Linked DNA regions of Struthio camelus. The protein of the gene in region 1 purifies or fractionates together with the protein of each later gene. This does not show direct contact. Links are inferred from orthologs where the notes say so. Each region holds a gene or a part of one and is shown on either strand. Other genes may lie near its edges.

Region 1 (7,808 bases):
GCTCTACTAGGGACTACCTAAGAATTGACCCCAGGCCTTACGCGTGCTTTACAGACAAAGAATGGGAAATCCAAAGGTACAGTTCATTTTAAATGCTCCTACCTTCTGAATCTGTACAGCCAACTCCCGAGTTGGGGCTAAGATCAATGCCTGGGTCTCGCGAACCTGATTAAAACAGCTCAGTTAATCACATGGCCATGGCTGATCAAGCTCAACCGAGATTACAGATCCTACAGTGCTCCACAATGTCACGTTTGAAGGATTAATTACAGAGTTCTGTGCTAAAACCTACTGCTTGGAAGGGTCAGTTCACCTAGAAAGCTGCTCCCACACAAAGCGTTTACACAGGAACAGCTGCTTATGTAAGTTACTTTTGACAAGATGCAGTTCTTCATTTCATCACCTCATTTTTCATTCCAACCTCGTTTCTGAAAACAATTATAAAAGCGAGTGTGCTTTTCTTGTAAAAGAATAAAAACAAATTTTCAAGTGACTTAACTTTCATACTTTCAACTCAGGCAAAAAAGCTTTGCATTGTTCAAGGATGCCAAGACAATGTTTTAAAGTATCATATTTGCGAAATATTTTGAGCGCTTTACAGAGAGGAGGTGAAAAGCTGACCTCTCCATTCAGAACAGGGAGCTAATAATTATGTCCCCAAGCAATACCAAGTGAATGACAAAGCTTAATTTAAGGGACTACTGGTCCACAGAAAATCATGCTAATGTTCAAGTGCACCTATATAATAAGTTGTATTTCAAAAACATTTGGGCGAACAAAATACTCCTGACTAGAACAAAAATGAACATCCGTCAGGCAAAAATCTGGCTCGACTCTGTGCAATATGTGCCACCTGTTCGTGGACAGGTTGATGATGATGTTAGGACTGTTTGAGGACAACTGTCTGCTGGAAGATTAATTTAGCCATCTAATGCTGTCAATAAAAGCATCTGGAAAAGATTAGCTGTTAAAAGGCAGCTTTATAATTGCAAGATTTTATCTGAACTTTTTATTCTGTCAAGGTGGGTTTAACAGTTAAATCCTGACAGCAACAGAGCGTGATGAAATTTTCAGTCAGAATTTTGGCCGAAGGTCACTGCCCATAATTAAAAGATTTCAGTTTAAAGCTTCATTCCTTCACTCTAGCCAAATGAAGGCTTTTATAATGAAAATGCCAGTGATCTACTTTAAAAATTCTTTTAACATGTGCTGCGAAGTCACCTGTATATCTAGGCACTGCAGAACAGAGATGGAGAACGTTGCTGTCTTCCCCGTTCCAGACTGTGACCTGAGAAAGAGGTGTTTGGTAAATACTTTTTCTTCTGAACAGCTAATAGAGGCAATTTCAACATACATCTCTCACCCCTCTGCCCAAAGGTAGCTTTCTGCCATTTGTTCATTGCAAAGAAGTGAATATTGCAAACAACAACTTGCTAAGACAAGTTCGACTGGTAAGAAAAACAGCTTTAAGAAATGTAATCTCAGGGCTAGAGTACTCTCTACTGCAGGGTCCCAGCACTGTCACGTTTACCCCTTACTGCACCAGCATTTCAACTTTCTGCAATTTGCCTTGCAAGATTTTCTTTTCTTTTAAAGTAAAGCAGTAGATATGCTACAATTCAGAAGGCTATTGATTTCCACCAGTGACTGAGAAAATTTTTTTTTCAATTGGATGTATACCCTTTGTTTCCGGAGACAAATACAAGATCGTTTCTACTTACTTCTTTTCCCTTGACGAGAGACCGCACGTGTCTCTGTACTTCTCTAGCTTTGCTGGAAACCACTCCCAAGAGTCTCAGACCCCCGTTTATTCAGAACACACAGCATCTTGGCTGAATGTTTATCACAGTGGCACATCTAGAACATCACCCACTTGGGTTGGCTAGATATTACCAGCGCTGTCAGGAACACTGTCTGCATGTCGGGTGGCCTGTTTCACCCTACAGCGTTTACGATGTGATTTCCCCCGTCCTCTGCCACGTCAAGCAACGGCTGGGAAACGCCATCGACGCACCTCACCTCCAGCTGCGGGCACGGACCGTCACCGGTGCTCGCAGCGCTGACCACGCCAGCTCCGAGCAGAGCCGCGTGCAGCGCCAGCTCCTCCCGACGGTGGGCGGTTCATCTGGCGTCCAGCACCCTCAACTCACTGCACATCTTTTTGGGCAACCCCCCCCCCCCAGCTTCATAAAGACAAACAGGTGGGTATTTCCGAAGCCTTTGGAGATCGGAGCCCGGCTCTGTGCACTGGGGGGGGGGGGGGGGGGGGCTCCACTTACTGTGCGATCACGTCCCGCCCTTTGATGATCTGCTTGATTGCTCTCTGCTGGATGGCCGACGGCTTCTCGAAACCTGCCAGCAGCGGGAGGAAAGGGCGGTGAGGCAGGGCGGCCAGGGACACCCCGGTCCCCCCCCGCCACGCCCCCTCCGCCTCCAGACCACGCCCATCCGATGGTGGCCACGCCCCCAACCCAGACCACGCCCCCCCCTCCGCCTCAAGCCCCCACCTGGGAACGCTGCGTGCGCCGCCGCTCCAGCGCGCATGCGCGCGCCGCCCCAACATCCGGGCGCCGCCGCCGCCCGCCCCTCCCCCTCCCCGCGCGCCTCCAGCCCCCTCCCCCCGCCGCCGCCGCCGCCGCGCTCCCGGTTCTTCCCCTCCCCCCCACCGCCGCACCGGGCCGCACCGTAGGCGTAGATGCCGCGCAGCAGGTCCTCGCGCAGGCCCATGGTGTCGAAGGTGGGCGTCACGTCCACCTCCTCGCTCGTCTCGAACTCCACCTTGGTCATGTCCTCCTCTTTCATGAGCCGCTTCCGCGCCGAGCCGGTCGCGCCGCCGGACCCCGCCGACCCCGACATCGTTGTTGAGGCCCGTTCCTCGCCGCCGCCGCCGTCTCCCCCCTCCCTTCCCCCCCGCGCGCACGCAGCGGCACCGGCACAACCGCCGCCACGCACGGAGGGCCCGGCCTGGCGCGCATGCGCCACCGCGGGGGTGGGACGGGCGGGACGGGCGGCGCGCATGCGCGGCGGGGCGGCGCGGGCGGCAGGTAGGAGCCGCGCGAGGCGGCCCGGGCCGGTCCGGTTGGGTCCGGTTCTGTCCGGTTTGGTGCGGGCGGCGGCGGCTCCGTCTAGTCGTCGTGTAGGCAGGGGCGTGGTGGGGCTGCGTTTCTGCTGCTGCTGACTGAAATATTTTACCGATTAAGGCTGAGCGTTTGCTTTGTTGGTGGTTTTTTTTTTTTTAATTGTTATTATTTTTAGCGGCAGGACTCCCGCTCGCTGTAACGGCCCGGAAGAGCTGTTCTCCTCTCCTCTCCTCTCCCAGCATGAGCTCTGGATGAGCGCTCTGAGCCCGCTTAAGGAAAACAAAAAATGCCCCCGAATGGAGCTGTCAATCAGTGTTTACACACCTAAATTAAAAAAAAAAAATTACTTAGGCCAGGTGTCTCCCGAAGGTGCTGAGCGCCCGGCGCGTCGTAGCCCTCGGTCAGGCTCTTGGCGCAGAGAGATTTCCCCGGCCAGGAATCGGCAGTTACCGTGGAAACCCCAAGCAGCCGTGCTCCCGGCGAGGAAATAAAAACGGGCCTTTTTCCCAGCCTGGTTTGTTTTCATTTGCGTTGCTTTGGCCATTCGTACCCCAAAACGCATTGAAAGAGGCTTCCAGCCGACGCGTACCCTGCAAAGAGTTGGCCGGCGGCTGAGAGGCCGGGGCTGGAGCGGCGAAGGCGTCGGTGGCTTGTGAGCTCGTGAGGTGACGGCCAGCGTCAAAGAGTGATGAAAATACCTCCGCTCTGCGCCGGCCGTTTGGGAAAAATCCTGCCTCTCTGAGGCGCTCCGAGAGAAACGCTGCGGTCGGACGGCTTGCGTTGCCTGCGTGCTTTTGCCATCTCTCGTTCGTGGAGGCACTGCAGGTAGCGCGGGGGCTCGCCCTTGTTTCAAAAGCGGTATTTCAGAAGGTGCCTGCATGTGGGACCCGCTTTGCCCATGCGCACCCTGGCGTCCTGCCCCAGACCCAGCAGCACCCCGAGCAACGTGCGGGTGGAGGACGGGCTGGCTCTCAGCCCCCGTATCACCCCCGTGCAAGCCCAGGGGTGTCAAACAAGGGAAAAGAAAGAGATTTGTAGAGGAAGCTGAGAGAAGCCAAGAGCAAAGCGTGCTTTGCTTTGCCTGGCTCCAGCCCTGTCCCTGCCGTTCCTCTGCCCGTGTCCTGCAGGCAGCAGGGGTCCCGTTTTGACAGAGCTGGGTCTCCAGGTTTGCTTCTGGGGCAGAGGGTTTGGATCTGGGCGTGCTGCACCCCACGTCTTCCGTTCCTGTCTGGGATTTCAGCAAGATTTACATCTTCCATCTTCTTTTCCCCTTTTTCTCCTCCTTCAGCAGTGATTTTTCTTTTTCATCCTCGTCCTCTTTCCACCAGTCTAGACAGCTGCTTGGCTGATCTCTGAACAAACCCTTCAGCTCTCACGGGGGAAGGTTCTCTCCTACTTGGCAGGACGGTCGTTGAGTCCTGAGCTAGAATTCCATTTGACGTGCCGAAACAGAGCTGTCATGGAAAAATGGGTGTTTCCAGGCCCAGCATGTCTGAGGGTGCCTGGGGTGCACCAGGTGAACGTGGGTCGGTACCGCTTCAGTTGCGAGCGGACACGGTTGTGAGGAACTGGACCCTTGAGGAGTGACAGCAGGTTTGGGGTGCGTGACCCACGCCCCGGGGCAGAGAGCGGCTGACGTTCTTTTCTCTTTCTTTTTACAGAGCCCGAAGGCGAACGAAGCGGGTGAAAGCGGTAAAGGCCCTGGCAACGTGGTGGGAAGGCTGTTTTCAGGACGGCAGACTCGTACCATGTTTTCACCTGGAAGCCTGACCTAGGCTGCAGCCCCTGCCGTGTGCCCAGCCCTTGCTTGGACGTGGCTGAGGCTCAAGTCCAGGCTCTCCGGGAGGCGCTTGGTGTGGGAGGCAAGGGATTCCTCGGCTGGTGCTGGTCTGCAAGAGCGTTTGGCTGAAGGAGCTCAGGAAGAAGGTGAGCAGGGGGGAAAGGCTGGGAGCCAGCCTGTTGCGAGAGGACTGGCAGGGGGATTTGCTGTGCATTGACTGCGTACAGTCGAAATGATGGTCCGAAGCAACCTTTGCATCCTGCAGAGCACAGGCACTGGTCCTCAGCCGGTGTACTCCAGCACAGCTTCATTTCCCTGGAGGCAGAGATAGCTTCCTCTGGAGAGGAGCTGCTCTGTAGTGGTGGGAAGGGAACTCTGAAGGCCTCTGGTCTAGTCCTCTTAACCGCAGCAGGGCCAGCTTCCAGGCTAGACCACGTTGCTCAGGGCTTGTCCAGTCAAGGTTTGAACATCTCCCAGGATGGAGACCGCACAGCCTTTCTGGACCTGTCTCAGGGATGCACTACACTCAGGTGGAAGAATTTTTTCCTTATGGCCAGTCAGGGTTTTCCTTGTTGCAGCTTGTGCCTGTTATATCTTGTCCTTTCGCTGTGCATCTGAGAAGATTCTGCCGTTTCCAAGATGAAAGGCTATGTCCAGGGTGAACGCACATCTCTTTGGGGTCCTGGGGTAGGCATGGGGGCCTTAATCCCTTCTCTCCCAGAACCGGAGCAGGGTTCAAATGGTTTTCATGCTTGTGTGGATCCACCACTGGGCTAGTGTTTCAGGCTTGGCGGAGAGGAGTTTGATTCTTTGTACGTGCATGGAAGAAGTGCAGTGTTAATTTTCAAAGAGGGTTTTTTAATTGTGTGTTCTGTTTGCACTGCAAAAAATAAAATGGGATTTCCTTTAAGAAGCTGGTTTGGATGCTTGCAGCTGTGTTTCTGAAGCTGGTAGGTTTCTCTTCTCTTGACCTCAGTCTTTAGGAACTCAAGGATTTATTCACTAAACTGGACAAGGATGGCAGAGTGAGCACTGAGGAGTTCCAGATTGGCTTTTTCAGCCATGCAACGCTCTCTTCCCGGGGTACACCAACGCCTCTCAAGCAGCCAAGGCTGTTAGCGCTTGACGAGATGAGTTTAAAGGAAGAAGGCTTTCCTTTAAAATTAAAGATCCTGGTTCAAGGCCTTGATCTGCAGTTGCTTGGAGGTGATTTCCATTAATTATCAGGATCCACAAGTTATTGCCAGTTCCTTATGCAGGACAGTGTGTAAGGGCAGTGTGACACAAACGTCCTGCAGAGAATCCAGACAGAAATCCAGCTGTCATGCCTGGGAAGGTTTCTCTGTCCTTTTCCCCCCCAAAAAGGAGGCTGAACAATGGGGCTCTGCTGAGAGTGATTCAGGCCAAGATGTTTCGTTTCACGAGGGGCTGATTTAAGAGCCGCTAATGGAGGTGACTTGGGCACCTGAGGGCAGTGATTTGGGGACAGTTTTCCACTTGCCGGGCAGTTCCTGGGGATGGTCTGGACTTCACCGCTGTACGGTAAGTAAACGACTCCTTCCAGAGCTGTCTGAGTAGTTAAAACCCTGTGCAGGTGGATCGGGATGATAATACAGAATAACGCAGCGCTGCCAAGCCTCTTTTTTTTACTGGAGAGAGAGGAATGCACTTCATGGCAGAGGGGAAAAATGACCGCAATTCTAACATGGGCTTCAGAAGTGCTGACATCTCTGCACCTTTCCTGACTAAGGTTGTCCCCCGTTTAGTGCACAGAGCAAACTTCATCCTGCTTTAACTGATGTAAAATATTTCTCTCTGCTTAGTGCTTTTAATCCCAGGGACTGTCAAGGTGTTTGCAAATGCTTTAGAAGTAACTGCAACTTCAGTGCGTTAAGGCAGAAGTGAATAGCTGATTCCCCCAGCAGCCAGAGGAGCTCCGTCCAGGATCCTGGGCAAAACTACTCTTTTAAAAAAAAAAAAAAAAAAAAAAAAGACTAACACAAAGCGTTTCAGGCTCTTTTGGCTTACAACTTTGAGGTAAGTGTTGAGTGAGGCAAGGCATCCAAACTTGGTGTGAAATTGGTACTCTTGGAGATGTTACCAGTTGTGCATGGGGTCTCTGGCAATTGGGTGCTGCTCTTTGGGTCAGTTTGGCTGAATCGCGCTTGCCTCTGAAGTAGGCAGAGTTAAGCTGCCTCCAGCCCAATTTTAGCTCCTAGATCAAACAAAAAGTTGTCTGGCAGTCCTAGTCTGATGTTTTTCACAAGACCATCTGATACTATATAACTTCCAGTGTTAGTGTTTCTGTGGATGCCGAGTTTTCTGGGTTGTTAGGGAGATCAGACTGCTTTACCGCTTGCTCCTTTTGGCTGCCTGAGGGACAGTTCAGGACATCTCACCTCCTGGCAGCTTGGTGTTATTTGTAGAGCTTTCTCCAGTATCTGTGGGGTGCCTGCAGCCTCTTTTTAGTATTGAAAGATTCCGGGTTTTCTCTGCTAGTTTTGCCCTGCTGACTGCTCTCTGTTTTCTTTCCAGGCATTTGTTGGATGGGCAGGGAAGCAGCTTGTCCTTCCCGCTAAGCTGTGTGGGCCCACACCTCTGCTCCAGCAACGGCACTGGATTTGCCAAGTCTGAGCTTGTCGCTGCTGTTTGGCCCCAGGAAGTGGTGCAGAGCCAAGGAGATCCTCAGGGTCTCTAGTGCTGCCTTGTCTGGCGGCAGTGAGTGAAGCAAGCACAAGGCCTTCCAGCAAGCACCTGTCTGGGGAAGAAGGAGCGCTTGCAGGCAGGTTTGTAATGATGGGGTTTTGTCCACCTCAGGACTGGAGAAAAATCTGGGATTGGATGGATGTGATCCAAGCCTCCCTGTGAGACATGGGGGTCACGTCAAGGACTGGAGGGTGCTTGGATGATGTGACAACAGAAGCCCTATTGGCACCATTGAGAGCAGG
Region 2 (7,574 bases), on another chromosome or scaffold:
AACATATGAGTTGATTTGCCTAAACATGCCATATGTAAACAACAAAAATAACGTTTTCCAAAGAGAAACAGCAGAATTGCTTCTGCACTGTTATCTTCTCACTACCTTTTGTCAGTTGCATACTAATCTATTGCAACAACATCCTCTTAAACTATTAGTTAAATATATGTAGGGGAAGGAAGCCCCTTTAGAGTGGCTAAATCAATCACATTTTCTTAAGAAATTAGGTGCTCTGTCTTTCTCGACTAATCTTTTTAAACACCAGGACACTAAGAAGATATCAGAACATGGAACAGCAGGATAAAATGACACGTCTCCAGTGTTTATCAGCTTTGAATAATGATTATACATTTAATTAGCTTTAGTTATATTACAGTAACAAAAATTAACTGAGAAAAAATGAATGCGATCAATTTTCAGGCCTTTGAAGTTGCATTTTTAGCATCTTCCCTGTCAAAAGACACGACAAGTTTACATATTCAAAGTAACAAAATATTCTCCACAATCTTTAAAAATATATAACTTCTGATCTTATAACAGATGAGACTGTTGAAATGTACAAGCCTAAACAGATAGAGGGATTTGTTTTTTGGCAGTTACTGTCACAATAGGTCCGTTCCCCTCTCCCCAGCATATAACTTCTGGCATCAAGATGAGCATCAGAAAGATTCTGCAAAAAGCACCTTAAGAGTATTCAGTTTGACAAAAAGAAAAAAGGAAAGGAAGAAAAAAATGCACCATTCTTTCCCCTTGGCAGGATGGCTATCGACTTCTTAATACCTGAATGTGCTCTCTATGCTTTTTTTTTTTTTTTTCCCATTTTACTTCAAAGGCTTTTCAAACATGTTTAGACAAAAAAAATCCTCTAGTCTGGTCTTTTAGCATAAGTTTATTTGGGTTTTTTTTTTTTTTGTTCTTCTGGCTTGTAGTTCTCTACCATGAGTTCTGGAAAGATCACAACCGATTAAAGCTTTGAAAATTAAGACGACTTTATTAAAGCTACCTTTTCAACCAATTAATATATATGCTGACTGCATACAGACACACAGATTTTATCAATATTTAATAATTGTGATGCCTGAATTCTCAAATAGGAAAAATGTTTACCTTGCCAAATCTAAATCTGAGTTGTTAATTATTATAAAATAAAACAACAAACAGCCCACGGGGTCACATCTCTAATTCCACCTTTGGGTACAGACATAAGCATGCGAACCTGGAGCAAGTCACACCATAGCAGCTACACCCAGGGTGTACGCTAAGCATCTGAAAACACAAGACAATCAATCAATTCATCCTGGGATACATCTGCTATGGCAGGATAATACCACTTTTAGCCTTGCACCGCACACCTGTAGATCTTCAATACCTGGACAGCTTGACCTGTTTTAAGTTTGCTCACTTGTATATCCACAGCTATATCATTTATGGAACCCCATACATCAGTCAGTATTTGCAAGTAAGAGGAAAAAATCAAAAACCATCCAAACTGTGTTTTGGTTCAGGATTAAGAACTTTTATCTACAGTATTTCAACTCATCTTTAAAGTCATGCTTTAAAACATGGATAATTTATAATCATTTCATCATTAACAATAGAACTACATAAGTGTTTACCTAGATGCAATAAAACTTATCAGTACATTCCACGATCTTCACATGGAGAGCCTAGTTTCACTTTTTTTAAAAATATGGAACAGTTTCTCAGGTTTTTTTGTTACGTACACCGCCAAGGTGTGGCACAGAGACAGACAGCATTCTCATTTAGAACACTTCTTGGCATGCGAGTATATAACCGCAGTTCCCTTTTTGCTTTCACTTCTGTAAGGCCACTACTGTCAAATAACAAACTCATCTACCAACCAACATCAGACTATATAAAAAAATACTCATTTTTAAGCTATCAGGAAACAGACCTCTGAATTGGAGCATAAGGCCATATTGCTTGTTGCTCCCATATCCCATACCAACCCAAAACAAACGAGCTTAGCAACTGTGCAGGAGGAAAGGTGGCAAAGAGTAAGGATAAAAATAATAATTAAAAAAAAAACACGCATCTATTGGTCTCAGTCAGAGAAAGGAATAAATTAAAGGGAGTAACAGTGAATTTCCACAGGTGCAGTATCCAACTTTTGGAAAAGCAAGTACTACCTGTAATTATATTTGTTTTAAAGACGGAAACAAGCCGCGACCACATCCTGAAGCATCTCCGATGTCTTACTTCGGCATCGCACCGAAAAGCGACGCGCCTGTCCCGATCCAACAGAGAGGGCCGCTGGCTTTACCAGCGGAAGAGAGACCGCAAGTTTTTAGCCTCGGCGCCCTCTCCCTCCGTTCCCAGGGAAGGAAGAAAAGCCCACGGGTTTCAGGCCCGTGTGTCCCCCCCCACCCCCCCGGCTGCCGGCTCGGGGAGGGCAGCCAGCGCCGGGCCGCCCGCTCCGCGGCCGGGAGCCTCCTCTGCGCGGGTCAGCATCACGCCGCTTCCACTTTCCCGTCCGGAGCGCCCAGCCCGCTCAGGGCTTCCCCTCGCCGGCCCCACGGCCGGGCCCGCCCGCCCCTTCCGGACCCCCCCCACCTCCCTCCTCCGCTTCCCCGGTGGCGGAGACGCCCTGACCCCCCCCCCCCCGGCCACCAACGCGGTCTCACCTGTGCCTCGATGGGTCCCGGCGGCCCCTGCCCCGCTCCGGGGGGTCCTTGGCCCTGCCCCGGCCCCGCCTGCCCGGGCCCGGGCGGGGTTTGGGTCTGGCTGGGGAGGGTGAAGTCGGTGAACTCGAACTCGGAGCCCTGCGTGTCGGCGCCGAGCAGCTCGGCCTCCTCGGTGTCCAGGAAGGTGAGGGTTTGCGAGCTGGGGCCGTACGCCTCCACGCTCATGGCGGCGGCGGCGGCGTCGAGAAGCGGCGCTTCTCCCCCCCCCCCAAAAAAAAAAACGCGAGCCCGTGCCCGAGGCCGAGCCCGGCCGGGCCTCACCTCAGCGAGCCCGGGCGCCGCGCTACGCGAGCGGCAGGATCCGCCGCGCGCACCAGGCCGCGCGCGCGCGCGCCAGCCGGCCGGCCACCAACGAACCCGCCGCCGGGGCGGCCGAGCCAACGGCGGAGGGGGGGGGGGGGAAAGGAAGGCGGGCGGGGGGGGGGACGCGGCCGAAGGAGGCGGGGGGGAGGGGGAAGCGGGCGGGCCCCGCCACAGAACCGAGCCCCGAGGCGCTGGGAGCGGAACCGTCCGGCCGCCGCCGCCGCCGCTGCTGCCGCCGCCGCCGCCGCGCGCCAGGCCAGGAGCGGTGACGCGCAGCGCACGGAGGGACGACGACGCCAGCACGCCCCGTACGCGTGGGAGGGGTGACGTAGCACGCACACACCTGGGGAGGGCAGGCGAGGGGGCGGGGCTCCGGCGGAAGGCGCGAAGGGGCTCGCGCCGCGCCGCGCGGGGGAGGCGCCGCCAGCCACCTGGCGGGCGGGGGGCGCTGCCCCTTTTCCCCCCGCTCAACTCCTTCCCCCCGCCCGCGGCGGCGCGTAGGGGGCGGGGCTTACTCCTTGACTGACGGCCCTGACAGCCAATGGGCCCTCGAGCTGAGGAGGAAGGGCGGGCTGTATGGGAGGGGGGGCGCTGTGGGAGCCTTTGGCCCCTGTGGCGGCCGTTGGCCCCTGTGGTGGCGGTTGGCGCCTGTGACGGCAAGGGGTTTCGGGGGGGGGGGAGGTGGTTATCGGCCCTTGTGGAGGCGACGGGAGCGGGAGGGGGGGAGCTATGGTGGTGGCCGGCCCCTGTGGTTGCGGGGGGGCTGCGGAGGTGGCCGGCCCCTGTGGAGGCAGCGGCCTCTGTGGTGGTGGGGGAGGGGAGGGGGACTGTGGTGGTGCACGGCCCGTGTAAGGGTAAGCCATGGGGGGGGCTCGTGGTGGTGTTTGCCCCTGTGGAGGCAACGTGGGGTCCTTCACCCCCTCGTCCTCGCCGGGAGCTGCTAGCACCTTTTCTACGGCCTCCTTACCTCATGTCCCCCGTTTGAAATGAGTGCGTTGAGTCACGCAGAGAGCAGGTAGGAGAGTTGTGTGGGGGGGCTTGAGGTCTGTTTTGAGACAGACGTGATGATTAAGAAGGCTCCACTGTTATAATAATATCTGCTCTAGCTGTAATACCTATTATACTCGTAATAGTCATAATTTAACAGTGTAAAAATAGTCAGAAAGCTGAGTTGCCACAGGGTGGGGGTAATGGAGTGGGCCATGGAAATTCCTCCAGGTCGAGGAAGGTGAATGACTGGGCTCTGCAGAGGAGGTGAGTATCACGTGTTGCTACCCATAAATAAAGAGAAAATTTGAGTGCCCTCATTTCAACATCCTTTTATTAGAACAAAGCATCTTTTTTTGAGATAACTTCTGTGTTGTGAAAAACATTGACGCGAAAAGTTAGATATTCAATCCGTTTTCCCTACTAAAGACTTCATTTGACAACTGTAAGATGCAAATATGTACTGCCTTTTTGTAAGTAACTTTAATTTTGTTCTTGCTGTTGGTGTAGGATAAAGCCTGGAACCAAAACAATATGTGGGACCAGATTTGCAGCTGTTAAGCCGAAAAGATGTAGCTGAAGACAGAAGAATATCCTTGTCCTGGGAATATTGTGCACCAAATTGGGGGAAAAAGCAAGTAGAGTTAGTTATCATTTTTCACACACTGACTGTTTGAATTCCTCTTTAGCTTTAAGCCTCTGTGAAGAAGGAGACTACACCAATAGCTTATTATAAAAGTATCCTAATTCAAGATTCAGGTTAAAGTAGATTAATCAAACAAACGACTAAAACCAAAAGGCAGAATGAAAAATTGATTCTGGAATTATGACTGCCGCATTAGCTGCTATTTTGCACAGTGATATCAAGATAAGTCATACATAATTTCACCAGTGTTACAGGACAGTCCGAATGTTTAGGCTCTTTGATTCCTGAAGGTGAAATACAGCTGAATTAAGTACCACCTATAATCTCATTGGAAAGCATTCAGAGGATGAACCAAATTGGTATTTCCATAAAGCAAACTGGAAATTAACTGTTTTGTAGTTTAGGGAAAAGTACAACTGTGAGAAAATAATAAATCCTACTTTAGGATGAAAGCAGAATTGAGGAAGAAATTTATAAAATCAGGTAGGCCGTTTAGTACAGACACTTGTTTATGAATAAACAAAACATACTTCAACTTTTGGCTGGTTTACAGAATCCTCAAAAGTTTTGGACACCGATCAAAGTTTTGATGTGTTGCTAATGGCTGCCTGGATTTTTTCCCCCTGTCCTCTGCATAATACGGAAAATAAGAATGTTTTCAAACAGACTTTAGTTGGAAAACATATAGAAAGTTGCAGGTCCTGCGCTCATAGTGCCATCAGAAGCTGAACTCAGTTTGTGATACGGAAGCACCAGCGACGTAAGCTGTGTCCTCCGACAGAATCGCGCTGCTGTCTAAGGTGCTGAAATTGGAGGGCTGCAAAGAGGTTCTGTGGATCCCCTACCCCCCAGGAGGTTCAGTTTCCCTGTTACACAGGTAAAAAGTAAAACCATAGTGAGTCAGGTGTGGAAAGCCTATAGTTCACTCTGATATGTTTCAACAAGGGCAAGCTAGATTAGACTGGTAATTAGTCGTGGCCGTTAGGCTCCCGGTTGTGTTTGTACCAATATAGAGGCATGACTTCTGGAGAGGCTGCATCTGTATCTCATGGCATAATTGTTTGATCATAGTTTACTGCATGCGAGAAACTCTGTGGACTACTCTGGTGTATTTTGAGGTAAAAAATGTATGCAGGCTGCACTACAAAGCTTCCTGGACAACATTTGTTTCTGTGAGCTGTGTTTTATCTAATGTTCTTGTGAAAGTTTTATCTTTTAAGTATGGGCTCATGTAGCGGGATGGCCACTCTGAGTCATTGGTCTTTACTACTGCGTGCCCAATATGAAATCTAAAAAGGTAACGCTCTGGAAAATGAGAACACAATCTCTGAGAAAATTATGATGTTTTACCATTTTTATACATGGATAGAAGCTAGAATTTGCAGGGCATACTTAGTCATAAAAAGCTGTCCGAGAGAACAGATTTGGATGAATTTAAAGAGGATACTTTTTGCTTGCTTCCATAAGCAAGAAAGTTTAAGTTGTTTATCTTGAAGAGGTGAAAGTAAAGGTTCTTCTTGATTGTAAGTGTTGAAATGATGTGTACTGCAGTTTAGCCATTGATAGAAATAATTCAATCCTGTCTCAGAATAGTTAGCTGTGCCAAAGGATTTTCCTTGAAACTCATTTCAATTCCAAGACACACTCGCATCAGGATTTGCTAACTGCACAAGAGAAGAGTGAAAAAAAACCTGTTATGAAAAAGAATGAACTGATTGGTCTCTGCAAACTCCAAGCCTTGGAGATAGTGTTAGGAGGTGTCATGATGACGGGAAGGGTTCAGAGCCAATCAAACTGGGTGTGAAAAATCTTTGCAGAGCTGCTACTTTAAATGGCAGGGTTGGCTTAAAAAAATCAAGTATTTTTATCCTGGAATAAAACATCCCAGGTTAGGGGACAATACGTATAAAGTACACGTTTGCCTTATCTGATATCTCTCAGGTGGAGATCCCATGTTCTTGATAAAGAATTCATAAGGAACACTCACACACTGCACAGCTGATGGTGATTTCTATACAATAAGTACTGTGATTTTGCAATACATTAACATATTATAGAACTATAAATGTAATCAGTAAATTTATTATGCATATTTAATCACTTTACCTTCTTACCAGTTTTGTCGCTTCACATTTGCATTTTAGCATCTATTTATTTTTTCTTTTTGGTTTCGTATTCATGAAACTCTCATTAGTTTAAAAGTTCTTCTCTCTCTGTTCTTCCTTTTGTTTGCCTCTCTCCTAAAACAAATCTTCAAGTGAAAATCCCTTGGAGTTTTACCTAGCCTGACTGCTAGGAAATGGAAGAGCAGAGGATACTTTAAAAAAAAACAAAAAAGCAAAAACCTATTTCCTTGTCAGAATATACTGAGAAGTTTTCAATATCAAAGAATCTTGAAAGAGAAAATCTTTTAATGAAAAAAGCACCAAAAATGCAGCAACAAAGCAAAAATTTTGGAAGACAGTAAACTAGCCATTCCATTGCAGATGTTACACTTCTGCTCAGTCACCACAAGAGGGACATAGAAGGAAAGCTAACATAGCGTTGGAAAAGATTCATAGCAACATATATTTCCTTTTGTTTGGAAAGGTCTTCTGGGATCATAACATTTTGATAGCTTCCTTCATCCCAAATAATCTCTAGAAAGCTTCCTGGACTTTAGAAAATGTGATAATAAGTATTAATAGCTAAAATGGATCTTTTCCCAGAACTTCATAATCTTTTCTGACCTTTTTCCTGCTGGAATGTCTGTAGTAGTGTTGGGATAGGGAGTGTTTGGGCTGCCTGTATTTTTGTTCCATCTCTAGCTATTGGACCAACAAATATTGGAGCATTTAATAGGCACTGGACAAGAAGATTGTGGAGCTATTTTTGTTTACTTGTATTTGATTTTCATGAACTAATGGCTGACGATGCAAATATAATGACAGAAC
Region 3 (7,958 bases), on another chromosome or scaffold:
TTTAGCAGTATTGATATTATACTCTATCTGATTTGAAGGTACCCTTTATCTACAAGTGTACAAATACTACATAACATTAACACTTGTAACCAAATGCTGCATGACAAAGTAAACCAGTACTCCCACCCCGTCCCGGTTTATTCCTTTAAAAAACTAGAATGGAATAGAGAATTACAAAAGCAAGTATTTAGCCACAATTGCCAAAAAAGTTTTAAAGAAAAGAGCAATTGTAGTCTGCGGGAACTAAAACATGCCTGAAGAAGTGACAAGTAGGTGCATGTACTCAATTAACCTGTCTCTCAGTATAAGGTCAATACTGCCAATTTCATCTGTGACAATAGCACTTGGAGTCATACCATTGCCTCCATTATTGATCTGATCCTCCTCAATCCTCCTTTTGACAATCCTAAAATGATTGACATGTGCTCCACAATCCTTTAATCCAAAGCATTCTTAATCCATCTCTTCAGATATGTCTACAGAAAGACACACGAAAAGGCAAGATAAAATATAAGATCCCCCAGAAGAGACAAGTTAGCCACAAACATCCCAACATCCCCAGCTTGTATAAACCATAGCCGAACACTGAGACATTTACACAGCAATACCACAGTTTGAAGAATGTTGGTAGTTAACTATAACTAAATTGAAACAATCCTGACTGACATCAATTAAAATACAATTTACCAAAGACATGAGGGGAATGTTGATGTTAAGGAGCAAATACTCACTAGGGATTTTACACAAGAATGCAATTCAACACTTCAGCCAATTTGAATAAAACAGTTTGAATTAAAAAATGAAAGACTGTACTGAGTAAAGGAAAACTGTGTACAACACGGGGTTCTACAAAAAGATCATTGCTAGTGATCATTTATGTACGAGAACGGGATCTGCTGTGACGGGGAGAGTAGCGTGGAGATCCTCTGCTTCTTCTTGGGGAATAACTGCGGCTTCTGCTGTTGCTTCGACTACGGCTTCTGCTACGACTACGGCTGCGTGACCGAGATCTTCCATAGCTTGGACTTCTTGGACCATCAACTTTAACACGGATGTAGGCAGTTTCTCCCTATTGAATAGACAGAACTTTCGATTGAAGGGTCTAGGCTTTACGGCCATCTTTTTAGGCATGCTGACAGACTGAAGATATTGTTTACCAAAGCACAGAAATAGACATCAAGTCTTTAAAGTCTATTTTACGACAAACTGACTACGGGCTTAGCTTACATGCTTTGCGTATTAGTACAATGGCAACCACACATCCTTACCTTCAAATCCTATCGTTAAGCCCTTTGTATCCAATTCTGGCCCAAAAATAAGCATGAAACCTACCTCATGAGATCTAAATTTAGTGTTATCCAGTTTTCGCACAGCGTAGGTCATATCTTCCTTCCGTACAAACTCCACGACACCAGTGCCATCTCGGAAAACATCAGCATAACATACATCACCTGCTTCACGCATGTGATCCTTTAAATCCTGCCAACTTCCACTTGGAGGCAGCCCTGAATAAAAGGCAATACATTACTTGAAAAATGAACTACATTATCATACAGTATTAGATATTAGATACAATAGCATGCCACAACAGGTGAGACAAACTATTCAGTAAGGAGAAAGGCTGCCTTGAGAAGCTGTGAACACTGCTTCCAGAATACCCGAGGGGGATGCTTTTTAAGGGGGGGAAAAAGCTGCAGGAACGGCATGGCTCCGCACGGAAACCAGGCGCTGCGAAGCCGCCTCGAGGACCCCCGGGGGAAACGCGTTAACTAGAGAAAGAGAGAAAGGACTCACCCGAGACGATCACTCTGTACTCCGAGCGCCGGGACGGGGGGCCATACCTGCCCCGGGGGGCGCCACCCCCTCCGCCGCCGCCACCGCCTCTGCCGGTGCCCCGGCCGCTCCGAGGGAACTCCACGCGGAGGCGATACCCATCGTAATCGTAGCCGTCCCGCCCGTAGACGGCGTCCTCCGCGTCCCTGCGGGCCGGGACGGGCGGTGAGCGCCGACCGCAGCGCGCCCAACCCGCCGCGCCCTGCCCACGCACCGCCCCCCCCCGCCTTTGTTCCCGCTTCCCGCCGGCCCCACCCCGCCCTCCCCCCGCGCGGGCCGCGGCCGCCCCACGGAGCGGGGGGAGAGCACGGGGGAGGCCGTTAGGGCTCCGGCGGGTGCCCCGGATCGCTGGGGCGGCTGTGGGGGGGGGGGGTCGGGAAACGTCGCGGTTCTCCCTTCCCCAGCAGGCCGCGGGTGGGCACACGCGGGGGGCCCCCCACCCCCCCTACCCCAACGGCAGGGCCGGCGGGGGCCTCACCTGGGGTCCTCGAACTCCACGAAGGCGAAGGGCGGCCCGCCGCGGCGGTTCTTGAGGTCGATGTCGCGGATGGCGCCGTACTTGTAGAACACGTCCTCGATGTCCTTGGTGCGGATGTCGGGGGGCAGGTTCCCCACGTAGATGCGGCAGTCGTTGTTGCCGGCTGGGCCGCGAATCACGCCCCCTCCGGACATGGCAAGGTCAGCAATGGCTGCGGCGGTGGAGAGCCGGAGCTCAGCGAGCGGACGGGTCGGCGAGCGCGGGGGCCGAGCCGGGCACACGGGAGCGCACACACGCCGCCTCCCCCAACAACCGCTTCAAAATGGCGACCACGGCTTCCCTCGCGGTCCTACTGCGCGCAGCGATTTCACCCCGGGACGCAGCACCGCCTTTACCACCACAAGTGCGGCCGAGCCCGCGTCTCCCGCCGCCGCGCTCCCACCCCGCCCTCCTGCGCATGCGCGGCAGGAAAAAGTAGTCCCGCTATTTTTTTTTTTTTTTTGGCTCTCGGCGATTACAGCTAAGAAGCCGGGCCAGTCCCGGCAGCGCAGCTCCCGGTGGGAGGGCTGCGGCGAGCTAAATCCTTCCTCAGGGAGCCCCGGCTCCCCGCGTTTGGGGCAAGAGCCCCTTCAACGGCCGCGCTTATCACGGCGGCAGGCCGGTGGCGTCACATCCGGTGCGGAGTCCACGCAAAGAAGGCCCGGCTGGGGGCAGGGGAGGGGCCCGTCCCACAGTGCACCGCGCGGGGAGCGGCGGGGGCGCTTGGCGCCAAGGCGCGGGCTGTGTCCCACAATGCACAGCGGCGGCCGGGGTGGGGGGCGGCGGGGCGCGGCGCAGCGGCGGTGGGGAGGCCGCGGGCCTCGGCGGGGCCGCGCCGGGCCTGGCCTGGCCTCCCGGCCGCGGGGAGCGGGGCTGGGGGTGCCCCGGCCCGGGGGGTCCAGCCAGGGGGGTCTTGCCGGCGGGGCTGAGCGGCGCTTGCCCGAGGGGCAGAGCGCTGCGCTGCCCCGAGGTAAAATGGCCGCCCCGAGGCAGTGCAGGAGGCCTGCCGGGGATGAGGAGCGGGGCTGGGCCCGGCCCGGCTGCAGCCCTCGGCCCTGAGAGCACCGTCCTCACCGGTCCTGGGGAGGGGGAATCCAGTCAGAACTTGGGGTTCAGTCAGCTTGGGGCTGATTTTTTTCTTTCTTTCTTTCTTTCTTTTTTTTTTTTTTACTAACTGGTCCCTGCAGCCTTCCCCTTTCTAAATTCGACATTCTTCAGAGTGCCCACTGATTGCTATCCTGTTCTGGAAGGACAGCTGCCTCTTAAGAATCAGCCATCAAAGCCCCAGTGTTATAAGTTTGAGGATCAAAGCAAGAGGGACAAAACAGACCTTAAAAGATGTGCCTGACTTTGTAGTCTGCATGAATTTTAAAAAGCGAAGGAGCCAAAAAAGCATTTGGGAGACAGGGAACTGTAGGTCTCAAATGAGGATGCTTTGAGATTATGATGCATGAGAAATGCATGCAAGGGAGGGCAGAAAATAAAGTCCTATAGAAGAAGCAAGAAAAAAATGTATAGCACTATTATGTTCCTGTGATTGTCATGCACGTAAAGTCGTTTTTAAAGACCAATATATTCTAGTATGTCACAAAGTCCTGAAAGAGCTATTAAAGCAGTGGGTGTTACTGTTCAGCGTACAAACTGCTGCTTACTAGGGAGGATGGGAGGAGATGACCCAAACTTCAGTTTAAAAACATAATACTGTTTTGGCCAGCAGTCCCTCCTTGATGTTTAAGGCTGTGTTGGCATGCAGGTTTTCGGAAGGCTGCAGATAAAATGACGTGAAATCTCAAGCCTCCATTTCAAAAGTACCTTAGAAAATGTGTCCGGTTCTCAAAGGTATTGCGTCTCACTCTTGTTAAGAGTGTGTCCAAGAATATAAACTGAGGAAGGTGTTACTGCTGGAGGAGGCCATCACTTTCTGGCGAGTAGCTGTGGGCACAGTCTTTCTCCTGGGTCAAGCGAACTAGCGCACCCTCAGTAAACAGTGCACGTTTCTGTGCGTTGCGTAGGGCGTAGAGCGTGCATGCAAACCCTTACAGCGCAGCAGCTGTTCCCTGGTACGTTCCCACCTCGCCATAACCCACCCTGACTTTTTGTTTTGCCCACGCTTCGCTGCTCGGAGTTCACATCACAAACTGCTTTTGAAACGAGATTCTTCGTTTGGTCTACACGCTGTATCAGGTGTGGGAGGGAGACCTAAAAAGCAGCTGAGATAGTTGTACTGTTACAAACGCTAGGCTGCGTGTCCCTTATTTATCTTTCTGTAGTATCTTCCATAACAGCTCAAGCAAGTCCACATGGTGCAGGGAAGGTTGTATCACTGTAACTACAGTGGTAGGGTTAAAATAGTATGTGAATATGCAGAAAAACCCTTTAGGCTCCTGAGTTAATTAGGGGATTTTGAAAAATGTGTCATGCCTCTTTAGTAGTGTCTGTCATGCATACTTCATTTTTCATGTACTAATTGCAAATGCATATTCCTCTAGAAAACAGCGGTCCTAATGACTTAGAAAAATATTTCCAGTATGATGTTGTAATGCGTTTGACTATTATGAATGCCTTTCATTTCTCTCTCATGTAGGTTAAAGTACAGTAATATGTTCTACTCTAATGATTTTTAACATTGGTAATAACTACGTTAGATTGCTAGTGGTTTAGATAAAAGACTGCTATTAATCACTGAAAGATGTTAAAAGAAAGCCCATCTTCAGAAGCGGTGGTTTCTCTGAGTGTAAACTACCCACTATCTGGACATTTTCTACATCTTTACAGAATATTACCGTTTCACAACTCTACCAGAATATGAACTGATGAAGCAGTGACTGTAGTACCCATGTGGTTCTAGGCCACGTACGTAAGTTCACTGGGTACTCTTGGTAAATACATCTTTTGAACCAGCATAACTTGACAAGCTAATTTAGTCATTTACCAAATCAGTAGAAATACTTAATGCATACTTAAAAAAATTCCCCCCCCCAAACTGAGAATATACTCTTTCCAGGTATAGAGACAAGAAATTAGTCTTTATTTTCAAAAGCTTATTAAATTGCTGAAAGTTACTCTGTAAGGCATCATAAAATAGTAGTAAGTCTGCCTGGTTTGCTAAAACCCTATTGCATAATTTCTTTTGTGTGTTAATCATCCTCATAACTACTTTAAATCATTGCCTTAATTACCATAATGAAGTGTCTCTTTATAGAATTATTGATTATTTTCTTCCTCATTGCATTTTTAGCTTTGTGTTACCAACAGATAGCTTTAAAACAGTTGGATAAGCTGCAAAACATGTTTGCTTTGTCAGAGTCACTTTTGGCTTTCTGGCAAAGTGTGCTTGTGGAGAATCATTAAACGTTATTAATTATGTAGAAAATAAATTACCAGGAGGGGAATGGCAAATAATCTTGTAAAAAAACGGACTACTGTGGAATAACAGGCTTTAGTTTTCAAAATGAGAGTAATGTAAAGCATGGCTTTCAATTTGAGCATATTGATCAGTAAAGCAAATATTAACCGTGTAACCCAGTATCAGGAGTATCTGCACGTACCTAGCTTGCCAGATAGAGGTACGCTACAGTACGATTTGTTATAATTGCTTCTTAGTCTGCTGTAGGCCCTCTCGTATACAGAAAGAAAAATAGCACGTTTGCTTTAGCTCTTTCTGCCGTTCTCACAGCTTTCCTTTCTCTCTCCCTCGTTCTCAGAAGTCTTCCCATTGTGTTAACATGCACTCTCACTCTTTTTCGCATAACCGTGCCAATGCCTGAGGTGGGTCTTTTTATGCAAAATACTAAAACGCTTTATAATGGGGTCATTATTCATTGTCATGTGCGGTGAAGCCGAGGCGTCGGAAGCAGAGCGATTTTCCCAAGACCACCTAAGAGAGCTAGCGACAGAGCAGGGAACACAGCTCGCGGCCCCGAGCGTAGGCGGCGCCTGACCGCTTCGGTAGCAGTTCGGAGTGGCCGGTTTCGTGACCTTCGCAGCTTCTCTTGCTATGTCAGTGAGAACCTGTTTTTCCTAAGTCACTGGCAGCCTCCTTAGTACTGTCAGGTCCAGCTGGGATTAGTCTTGAGTAATCTTACTTTGTTGTAAAATAAGTTTATCAAAGCTCAGATACTGAAATGCATGGATCCTGTCTTTGGAGCTTGAAATATAAAGTTAATATTTGGAGGGGCCTTCAATTTTAAACAGTGCCGAATGATTTCATTGTCATCAGTGTTATTAATTTGCATGTGCAAAAAAGTTTCAAAAACATATTAGTTGATTTTGTCCGTGATTTCTCGTCAATGGATGTTCATTGGTACATAAAAATGTTATTGAGGAAAAGTTTTCTTTATACTGGTTAAAAATACTCTATTGAATGGGAGCGTGCAGAGTGTGAAAATGATTATTCAGACTGCTGTTCTGGTGCATATACACAGTAGTACTTGGGATAGATACCTCGGGAAGAAAATCTAATTTGGACTACTTGTAAGATTTATTTAAAGTATAGTTTTTCAAGATTTTTTTCATGTTTCTTTGCATAGAACAGGGCAGAGCTGGTAACATGGAGCAGTTCTGTGGGATTTTGAGATCTCATCTTCTTGAGACTCAAGTATTTCCCCAAAGTGACAATGCTTAGTGTTTGGCAGGATTTATTTTCTTTTTTTGAGAGTATAGGTCACTAGTTTTCCACAGCAATGTTGGTAAGAACGTGAGTAGGGTCCACTAGTCTTTCATGCCAAGATCTGTGGTGTAGGGGGGCATAGAAGGATGGCAGTAGTGTTTTCCAGTGGAATAAAAGGAGTGCTCTGAAATGAAAGATTAAATGGGACCTTGAGGAGTCTATTTTCTGCCCAAGTAGATTTTAATAAGAGTGGCTCATTATTTGAAACGAGGAGAGGGGGCCAAAACCTCCCCTTATTTTGGAGAATGCAAGTGGTTAAAACATCAGACTACATTTTGCATTTTTTACTTTTATTGGAGAGAACCTAAGTAGCTATTTCGGAAGTGAGAGAAACTGAAGGAGTTATTTATTGTTCAGACAAAATTTGAGTATCTTGGTAAGATAATGAAAATATGTGCAGGTTTGAAAATATTTCCCCTAAATGTGGATGATGGTAGAGCTCATTTTATTTATTTAGGTTCATACATAAGGTAAAAAAGTGCACAAGCACGTGGCTTGCGATATCACGATGCATTTCGACTGTGTGAATTGTTGCTGAAAGCCAGCCTGAAAGAACAAACGTAGGTACAGAGACTTAAACAAGAAAAGCCAGCCCAGAAGAGAATGCTGGACAGACTGGCATTTGCTGTCCGTAACTCCATCTGAATTTAAATCACTGCATTTAGGGCAGACATAGCCCACGACCGCAACTCGGCAAGGGCCCGCAAGAGTCAGAGGTGGACGTTCATTAATTCAGATGGATAGTTGTAGGAGAGAAGGGATTTTACAGGTGGAAAAAATCTTTTCATCCCCAAAAGCTACAACCAACGAAGACTGTTTTGTTTGCTTTATGTAAAACACAGCGTCTCTGAACAGGAGCCTTTAAAATGATGGCACGGGCTCAGTGTGGTCATGTACCGCTAAGCAGGCCCACATGCTATTGCTCTTACCTGATTCTCC

The links. The genes of interacting proteins can lie anywhere in the genome.
Region 2: the proteins of EIF4A3 (region 1) and UPF1 purify together in Homo sapiens (co-immunoprecipitation; 8 studies listed by BioGRID and IntAct, with this or other methods). This does not show direct contact. The link is inferred for Struthio camelus from reciprocal best matches to the Homo sapiens genes EIF4A3 and UPF1.
Region 3: the proteins of EIF4A3 (region 1) and SRSF1 fractionate together in Homo sapiens (co-fractionation; 4 studies listed by BioGRID and IntAct, with this or other methods). This does not show direct contact. The link is inferred for Struthio camelus from reciprocal best matches to the Homo sapiens genes EIF4A3 and SRSF1.

What each region holds. Positions count from the first base shown.
Region 1 is NC_090944.1:139,884,967-139,892,774, forward strand, and holds the start of EIF4A3 (eukaryotic initiation factor 4A-III), read right to left. Parts: upstream 3,015-7,808; 5' UTR 2,857-3,014; coding exon 2,685-2,856; intron 2,353-2,684; coding exon 2,280-2,352; intron 1,289-2,279; coding exon 1,222-1,288; intron 166-1,221; coding exon 103-165; intron 1-102. UniProt on the Homo sapiens protein: ATP-dependent RNA helicase. Involved in pre-mRNA splicing as component of the spliceosome. Core component of the splicing-dependent multiprotein exon junction complex (EJC) deposited at splice junctions on mRNAs.
Region 2 is NC_090967.1:6,071,355-6,078,928, reverse strand, and holds the start of UPF1 (regulator of nonsense transcripts 1), read right to left. Parts: upstream 3,013-7,574; 5' UTR 2,871-3,012; coding exon 2,646-2,870; intron 1-2,645. UniProt on the Homo sapiens protein: RNA-dependent helicase required for nonsense-mediated decay (NMD) of aberrant mRNAs containing premature stop codons and modulates the expression level of normal mRNAs.
Region 3 is NC_090957.1:20,532,279-20,540,236, reverse strand, and holds the start of SRSF1 (serine/arginine-rich splicing factor 1), read right to left. Parts: upstream 3,013-7,958; 5' UTR 2,506-3,012; coding exon 2,312-2,505; intron 1,980-2,311; coding exon 1,795-1,979; intron 1,506-1,794; coding exon 1,333-1,505; intron 1,070-1,332; coding exon 875-1,069; 3' UTR 1-874. UniProt on the Homo sapiens protein: Plays a role in preventing exon skipping, ensuring the accuracy of splicing and regulating alternative splicing.